2 linked regions of the Sus scrofa genome follow. The protein of the gene in region 1 interacts with the protein of each later gene in a pairwise test. Links are inferred from orthologs where the notes say so. Each region holds a gene or a part of one and is shown on either strand. Other genes may lie near its edges.

The links.
Region 2: the proteins of L3MBTL3 (region 1) and PLEKHF1 interact in binary tests that used the Homo sapiens proteins (3 or more experiments, as listed by UniProt). The two-hybrid records come from large-scale screens. The link is inferred for Sus scrofa from reciprocal best matches to the Homo sapiens genes L3MBTL3 and PLEKHF1.

Annotation. Positions count from the first base shown.
Region 1 is NC_010443.5:33,316,685-33,320,588, reverse strand, and holds the start of L3MBTL3 (lethal(3)malignant brain tumor-like protein 3), read left to right. Parts: upstream 1-1,111; 5' UTR 1,112-1,273; intron 1,274-1,542; exon of another isoform or gene 1,543-1,564; intron 1,565-1,957; exon of another isoform or gene 1,958-2,074; intron 2,075-2,120; exon of another isoform or gene 2,121-2,334; intron 2,335-2,641; exon of another isoform or gene 2,642-2,661; intron 2,662-3,022; exon of another isoform or gene 3,023-3,273; intron 3,274-3,904. UniProt on the Homo sapiens protein: Is a negative regulator of Notch target genes expression, required for RBPJ-mediated transcriptional repression. It recruits KDM1A to Notch-responsive elements and promotes KDM1A-mediated H3K4me demethylation.
Region 2 is NC_010448.4:39,792,627-39,796,430, reverse strand, and holds part of PLEKHF1 (pleckstrin homology domain-containing family F member 1), read right to left. Parts: intron 448-3,804; 5' UTR 434-447; coding exon 1-433. UniProt on the Homo sapiens protein: May induce apoptosis through the lysosomal-mitochondrial pathway. Translocates to the lysosome initiating the permeabilization of lysosomal membrane (LMP) and resulting in the release of CTSD and CTSL to the cytoplasm.

The sequences.
Region 1 (3,904 bases):
AACTGGTTCAAGGAACATTCCTTAAGTGAAAAAATTCAATCAAGAATATTATTACTTACATTTTGAGGAAGGATTTTTTAAAGCAGAATTTCCATCTGTGATATATTTAAATTCTAGACCTCAGGCAGCAATTTCGGAAAAGGGCCTCCTTTACCCTTTATTAGATACAAACTAAATACTCCACTCTGAGTAGTGGGGCCTTACTTTGTCTCCCCACTCCTGTGAAATGTAAGACTTGCTTCCACCATTTCTGAAATTATGAGTGCTACTTTTTTTTTTTCTCGCAAACTCTGTTATGAAGGTAAACATATTTATTACAACTTCAATTTCTTGAATTATTTTCTAAGTACTTGCATCTAGTAGAAAAGGAGCATGGTGAACTGCCCAAAAAAGAAGCCTGCAGTCAATAAGTGGAAAGCTGTCAATACAGAAATACAATACTCTTGCTTGATTAGTTTTGATGCCTTAACAAAGCAGGTTTTGCTGTTTAGGACTGCTCAGCCATCTTGACTGAATACGTTCAGAGGGTAGTCCACGGCCGACCTGCTTATTGTCAAGGGACTTTAACACTGATTTCCAAGTTGACATACGAATCCCAACATATTTCACAACCGAGGCCTAACATGTTTAAGCTGTCAATAAAGACCAACACTTAGGAAACGCAAGGCACGCGCAAGTTTTATATGCACACTTTATAACGCATTCTTCCAGTCCTCAAAGAGGGGGGAGGTTCTATAGCCTAGAAGCTTAAAACTTTATTTCTTATTTTTCATGACCTGTAGCACGCGTTTAGCCTTTTTGGGTTGTGTTTGTATAAGGCTGTGGCCCACTCTTGAATGGCTGAAAGCAGACGTTTAACAGTACATGGTGGATTAGCTGCTCAGAGAAATGCCTTTTTAAAAAAGTAAAGTGAAAAATAGACAAAGAAATCTATAATCTTAGCAGTCTTTCATATTTGTTTTGATTGTTCTTGAACCAGCCCTGAGCCGGTGACAAGGATATTGAAAAGATGCACCTGAAACAGTATCTGCGGGCTGCTGCATTTGCCAACCGGCTTTATTGCTGCTTTCCAGTGGCGAAGGCGCAGCAGCATTAACAGGGAAGCCAGAGCGAGCCTCCCCGGCAGCGGCGGCGGCGGCGGCACAGGCACCAGCGCAGTTTCCCCCTCTCCCCAGCCCTGACTCTACGCGCACATGCGCACTGCGCCCGCAGCCCTGGACCATTTGTCAGGACTACTCGTGAGACGGAGAAAAAAAAAAGAGAAAATTTGGGGGTAAGAAGCGGTTGATCGGATCTAATCTCTAATTAATATGAAGATTTGTCCGTGCAAAAGCCATTCATTTATTTTTCTGGGGGAGGATGAAAGTTAAGAGACCTATAGAGAGAAGGAAGCGCACCCTCGTCTTGTGAAACAGATCAGGGGAGGGGAAAGGACAGAAGGGGTTTCTCCCCCACTTCTCTGCGCCTCTGGGAAAGAGGAGAAAACTTAATCCCGGGGAAAAAAGTGGGCAAGTGACTCGGAAACGGCTGGAGGGGGAGTCTCTGGGCATCTCACTCTTAAGTAGTGAGTGCGAGTGTGAAAGAGGAACAAAAGAGAGAGAAAAGAGAAAGGAAAAAATGGGGGGAGGAGAGACTTGTATTTTTTCCTTTGCGCGCACACGGGGAAGGGTGTGGGGGGCCGTGCGGAAGGGAGCCGGGGCGAGGCGGCCGCGTCGGGCTCTCGCCCGCGCGCAGGCGGCGGGATGCGTGTGGGCCCCCTCCCCCGCGCCCCCCGAGCTTGTCACTTTGGTCGCTTTCATGACACCGGGCGCGGGGTGGGGGAGCGCGGCGGCGCCGGGCTCCGCCGGGGTGCGTGCCCGAGTGGGCGCCGCGGAGCCGCAGCCCGGGCGGCGAGCGCGGCGGCCCAGGCGGGGGGCGCTGCCGGGGGTGGGGGGAGCGCGGGGGCGGCCGGGGCCGCGGATCGGTGCGGCGGGAGGCGCGAGCCCCGCGCGCCGCCCCTGCGGCCCCCTCCGCCCGTGTGGCCTTTGTGCCGGGCGCGCACCGGAGAGCGGGCGAGCGAGCGCGAGAAGTACAAGTACGGGAGACCGAGGCAGTGGGAAAAGAGGCCGGGCCACTTTCTCCCCGCTCTGGCTGCGGAGAATGGACTGGTTGAATGTGCAGGCGCGTCTCCCCGGCGTGTGCTGTGTGTGTGTGTGCGCGGCGGAAAGGCCTCCCCGACTCCCACCGCGCACACGCACACTCACACGCACGCACACACTCACGGACCCGCGGCGGGCTCGGCGGCCGAGAGTTTGCGTTTTCTTCCTCGCCGCCTCCCCCTTCCCGACCGACTGTGTGAGAATTTCATATAGATCAGCTCCAATTTCCGCCATTTTGGGAAAGTTGCACAAAAATAAACCCTCCGGTTTATTTCTGCCCGAGGCAGGAAAGTGCTTCGGGAAGCGAGGCGGCGCGGGCCCGCCGCGGCCGTCCGCGCCGAGGAGGGCGCGGGCCGCGGGCCGGGCCGGGAGCCCGCGCCGTCGCGGCGTTCGCCCCGCGCCGTGCCGCGCAGCGCCGGCCCGGGTGCGGGCGCGGGCGTGTGTCGGGAGGCGGCGGCCGCGGCGGCGGTAGCGGCGGGCGGCGGCGGCGGCGGCGGCAGCCGCGCCGGGGCGGCGGGCGGAGGTGGTGAAGGCGCGGGGCTGCTTTTCCTGCAACTTGTTTACGCCGTCCTTATACTGGGGAGGCAAAGAGGGGTCCGAGGCGGGGCCGCCGCCCGCCTCGCGCCGCGTGCGTGTGCCATTCCGGAATAATGGGTTTTGCACACTAGCGTCCTGGGCCCGGCGGGCCGTCCTCGCGCCGCGGCGGCCGGGCGGGGGGAAGTAGAGGCCGGCGGGGGTGGGGATCGGGAAGCGCAGGAGCCGAGGCATCCGCCGCGCGCCCCGCGAGCTGGTGGGGGGTGGAGAGGGAGGAAAACTTGTGAGCCCTGGGCGCGGGGGAGGGGGGCACGGTGGCACGGGCGGGGGGAGGGCGCAACTTTTGTGCTGGTGGTAAAACTTTAATTACCTTGAAAGAAAAGGGCCCTCCGGTCTCCCCCACCCCTTCTGGTCAAAGCCCGGCCCTAGCGCGACCGTGAGAGAAAGTTTAAAACCGGGCAGTTTCCTCCCCGCCTTCCCCGCGAAGGGGTGGGGGTATCTGTTTGTCCGTCTGCGCTCGGAGAGAGGTGGGGGTAAGGAACCGCCCTTCGGGGTCGCGGAGACCGCGGCTCTTACCCCACCCTTCCACGGGGAGACGAAGGTAAACGTCGCTTCGGTTTCCCTCCTACCTCCCCCCCTCCCCGCTTCCTTTTCCTCCCCCTCCCCGCCGATTTTTTTGAGGGGACCCAAAAAACGGAGTCTCTTTCCTTATGCAACTTCCTCGGGCGCTGTGAGCACGGCCCTTCCCCCTCCCTGCATCCCTCGGCCCGCTCCTTTACCACCTCGGGTCTACCGCCGGAAAAATGCATTAGAGCTCATTCAGAGTGCCTAAGAAACAAAAATAGATTTTTGATTGCTCTAAGTTAAGAGAAACTGAGATGAGAAATAAGAATGGGGCGGGGGGAGAGGCTGGGACGAGTGCGTCGAATTTTAATTTTGGTTTTCCTAGAGCGTTGTTTGGAATAGCTTTATTAGTGTGGGGAGCCCGAGAGCCTCTGTACTGGCGAGCTCGGTCGCGTGGATTTTTGCGCAAGTTTTTAGAAAAACACTGACTCGAGTAGAGCATTTCTCCGGAAAGTTTCAAGTGCAGCAAAATAGCGAACGTACAAAACTGGCCAAGGGGAGACCTCTAGTGGTTGAACGCATCTTTAAGTTCGGAAGGCCGAGAGCAAACTTTGGCCTTTACTTTTAGCTACGTAGTCCGTTCAGACGTGGAAGTAATTAGACGACCT
Region 2 (3,804 bases), on another chromosome or scaffold:
GCTCCGTGCTGGGCTGGAGCCCGGTGGCCAGCAGCTGCCGCCGCACGCACTCCTCGATGTGGCTGATCCACTCCTGGCGCTCCGTGGCCGAGGCGGCCGATACCACGAAGGACTTCTTGGCCGTCTTGATCATCCAGCGGTTCTTGGCCTGCAAGGTCTCGGGCAGCGGCTCCAGCGTCACCTCCTCCAGCGGAATGATGTGCTGGCTGCGGTACTTGCGCTTGTTGAGCACGATGCTGCCGTACACCAGGATGTCGTTGAAGAGGAAGAAGATGCGCGGTTTGGCCTTCTTTCGGCACTCCTTGGTCAGCACGCCCTCGCCCAGCAGCACCCGGCCCGGCAGGGCCAGCGGCTGCCCTGATGCCCCGAAGCAGCTCTCAACCGCTGCGATGCGCTGGCTGTTGATCTCGGTGTTTGCCAGGTAGTCAACCATCTTCGGGCACTCGGCTGTGGGAGGAGCAGCAGAGCAGGCATCAGCTTGCCCAGGCATAGCCAGAGGTCAAGGCCACCTGCCACCCCCCAGCTCATAACCCATCCACCAAACAGCCCACTTATTACCCCACTGTGACCCAGCAGGCCCAGGCGGCCACGCAACCAAGGAAACTCGCTGCCCAGAAGCTGACCCTTAGACAAGGGAGTTACTAGGAGGTAAAAAGGGATGTCCCCGTCCTGTTAGGAGCAGGTGGTGAAAGCCAGCCAGGGATGGGAAGGCAGGTGTAGATGTGTCACTGAGCTGGGGAGCATTGGAAGACAGAGTAGAACAAGCCTCAACAGCATCCACCCAAGGGGCAAGGATACTGAGCCTGGACTCTCATCAGGGGCTCCCAGGAGCACTAACTACTAGCACTTTGGGCCTGCCCCAGGGGGATGGCGAGCGCCAGGTGGCAGGGTGTCTGCCACCCCAACCTGTCATTGAGTCCCCTGTTAACCAAGACAAAGCGTTAGAGACCCTGCAACCACTCACTCAGCCCGTGGGCCCAAGGGTCACCACCACCATCACAGGTACCATTGCTGAGGGCTTCCTCCAAGCCAATGACTATCTCATTCATTCCCCAGTCCAGGAGTTCCCATCATGGCGCAGCGGAAACGAATCCGCTTAGGAACCATGAGGTTGCGGGTTCGATCTCTGGCCTTGCTCAGTGGGTTAAGGATCCAGTGTTGCTGTGAGCTGTGATGTAGATTGCAGACGAGGCTCAGATCTGGCATTGCTGTGGCTGTGGTGTAGGCCAGTAGCTACAGCGCCAATTCGACCCCTAGTCTGGGAACTTCCATATGCCGCAAGTGTGGCCCTAAAAAAAAAAAAAAAAAAAAAAAGACATTCCCCAATCCAACCCTAAGAGATAGAACCCCTTTCCCCTCCATGACAGGAGGGAAACTGAGGCTTTTTTAGTAAATGAGCAGCCCAGGGCTTGCACCCCTGGAGACCATGCTGCACAGTGCCTTCCCCCAAGGAGCATGAGGCCGCTTTCCTCCTCTGCCAAGTGCTCAGGGTGGCAGCCCCAGTTCTCACCTGGGCCTGCTGTGCTCTGTCCACACCCACTCCCTGTGACTCACCCGACTCATAGTTTTGAAGATCACCCAAACACTGCCAGCTCCCCAGGTCACGCCTGCAGTCCCAGCTTCTCCACTGAGCTGCCCCTGTGATTGCTCACCTGTTGATCCAGGAGGGTCCTCAAACTCCACATACCCCACACAAATGTGGATTTTCCCTCCAGCGCCTCTTCTTTTCCAGAAAGGAAGCCCCATGCACCTAGTTGTTGAAGCCCCAAATCTAGGACTCACCCTTGAACCTCTTCCCTGTACCCCCAACATTCAACCCTGGAGCAAGCGCCATCATTTGTACTGCTCACACGTAGCCCCAGTCTTCCCACTTCCAATCACACCGCTCCACCCATGAACTGACAGCAAGGCGCCACCACATTTTGCCTGTAACAGCATCTTCCATTCAGAATGGGTCTCTCTGGATCAACAAGGACCTGCTGTATATCACAGGGAACTCTACTCAATATTCTGTAATCACCTATATGAGAAAAGAACCTGAGAAGGAATGGCTATATATGTATAACCGAATCACTTTGCTGTACACCTGAAATTAACACAACACTGCCAATCGACCTAGTTCAATATAAAATAAAATTAAAAAAAAAAAAAAAAGAAAGAGGCTGTCTGCCAACCCCAGCTCAGGCAGCTTTCCCCCAACCCAGGACAGGGCTGCTGGCAAATCACGGCCTGAGGGTCAAATCTGGCTCACAGCCTGGTTTTATGAACAAAATTTTATTGGAATGTAGTCACAGCATTTAACAATGGTCTGTGCTCCTTTTCTGTTGCAGTGACAGAGCTGAGACTGTGATAGAGACCACATGGTCGTGGAGCCTAAAATACGCACTGTCTTTACCTAAGAAATTTTCTGACCTCATCTCCAAGATGCTACCTTTTTTTTGCTTTTCTTCATGGGACTTATCAAGCACCTGATATTTTCTTGTCTAGCCATCATTTGCTGGCGTGTTTTCTATTTCCCTCGCTCAGGTCTAAGCTCCATCAGAGCAGGAGCCTTTTCTTGTTCACTTGCTGTGTCCCCCCCAGTGCCTAGAACCGAGCACATAGTAGGTGCTGAGCACACAGGAGGGGCTTCAGGAGTGGCTAGTGAATGAATGAACCAGAGCTCTGGCCGGCCCACCGTGGGAGGAAGGGGCCACCCCCTCCTGTCTCTGAAGAGGAAGCAGATGAGCCAACACCAACTGCCACCGCCACCACGTGCACACAAGTGTACAGGCGCGCACAGCACACCTCCGGCCCCACTGATCAGACACGTGGTGTTTCTGGGTCACCACACGGCAGTTCTGTAAGTCAGGCCACCTGTGGGAAGCCAAGGCGGGGCCGGCGTGGGGGCCGGATGCCTCACACAACAGGGGTGCTTGGCCCCAGGTCACGTACCAGTTGGCTCCTTTCAGACCACAAGGCCTCCAGAGAAGTGCTGTCCACATCATCTTATGTAAGAACTGCTATTTTTAGGCTGCTGATCTTGGCAGCGTGTTGCAAACCTGGCTGATTATCAGTGACAGCCCCGGGCTATAGGTTACTCGGTCCCTGCCGGGGACAGTCTGGCAACATTCCAGAGGCCACCCCAGGACCCCTGGGCTGAGTGCTGGGCCCTGGGATGGGCTGGATGAGGGCTCTGTTGGAGGAGCTCCGAGTGCAGCAGGGGAGGGAGATGCACCAAGGGAGGGGACCTCAGGACCTGTGGCAGTGACAACACAGGTGCCTGGCAGAGGGGAAAGGGCAGAACCACCAGGTGCACTCACACAACAGGCTACTGTCGGCGGTTCCAACCACTGCGCCCAGTCCACGTGGGTCAACAGGGAGCCACAAGAGACACCAGTGGCCGAGCAGAAAAGGCAGCCTGCCGAGCAGTCTGTGTGACACCACACATGCAGAAAAGACACAGCATTTTGAAAGTGTTCAAGAACCAGTGTTCCTGTCGTGGCTCAGTGGTTAACGAATCCAACTAGGAACCATGAGGTTGCGGGTTCAATCCCTGGCCTCGCTCAGTGGGTTGGGGATCCAGTGTTGCTGTGAGCTGTGGTGTAGGTTGCAGACTCAGCTGGGATCTGGCATTGCTGTGGCTGTGGGGTAGGCTGGCGGCTACAGCTCCGATTGGACCCCTAGCCTGGGAACCTCCACATGCTGCAGGTGCAGCCCTAGAAAAAGACAAAAAGGGCAAAACAAACAAACAAACAAACAAAAGTGTTCAAGAACCATATCCATGAATAAAAATGTATAGGATGGAATCTTGTGCCCATGAGG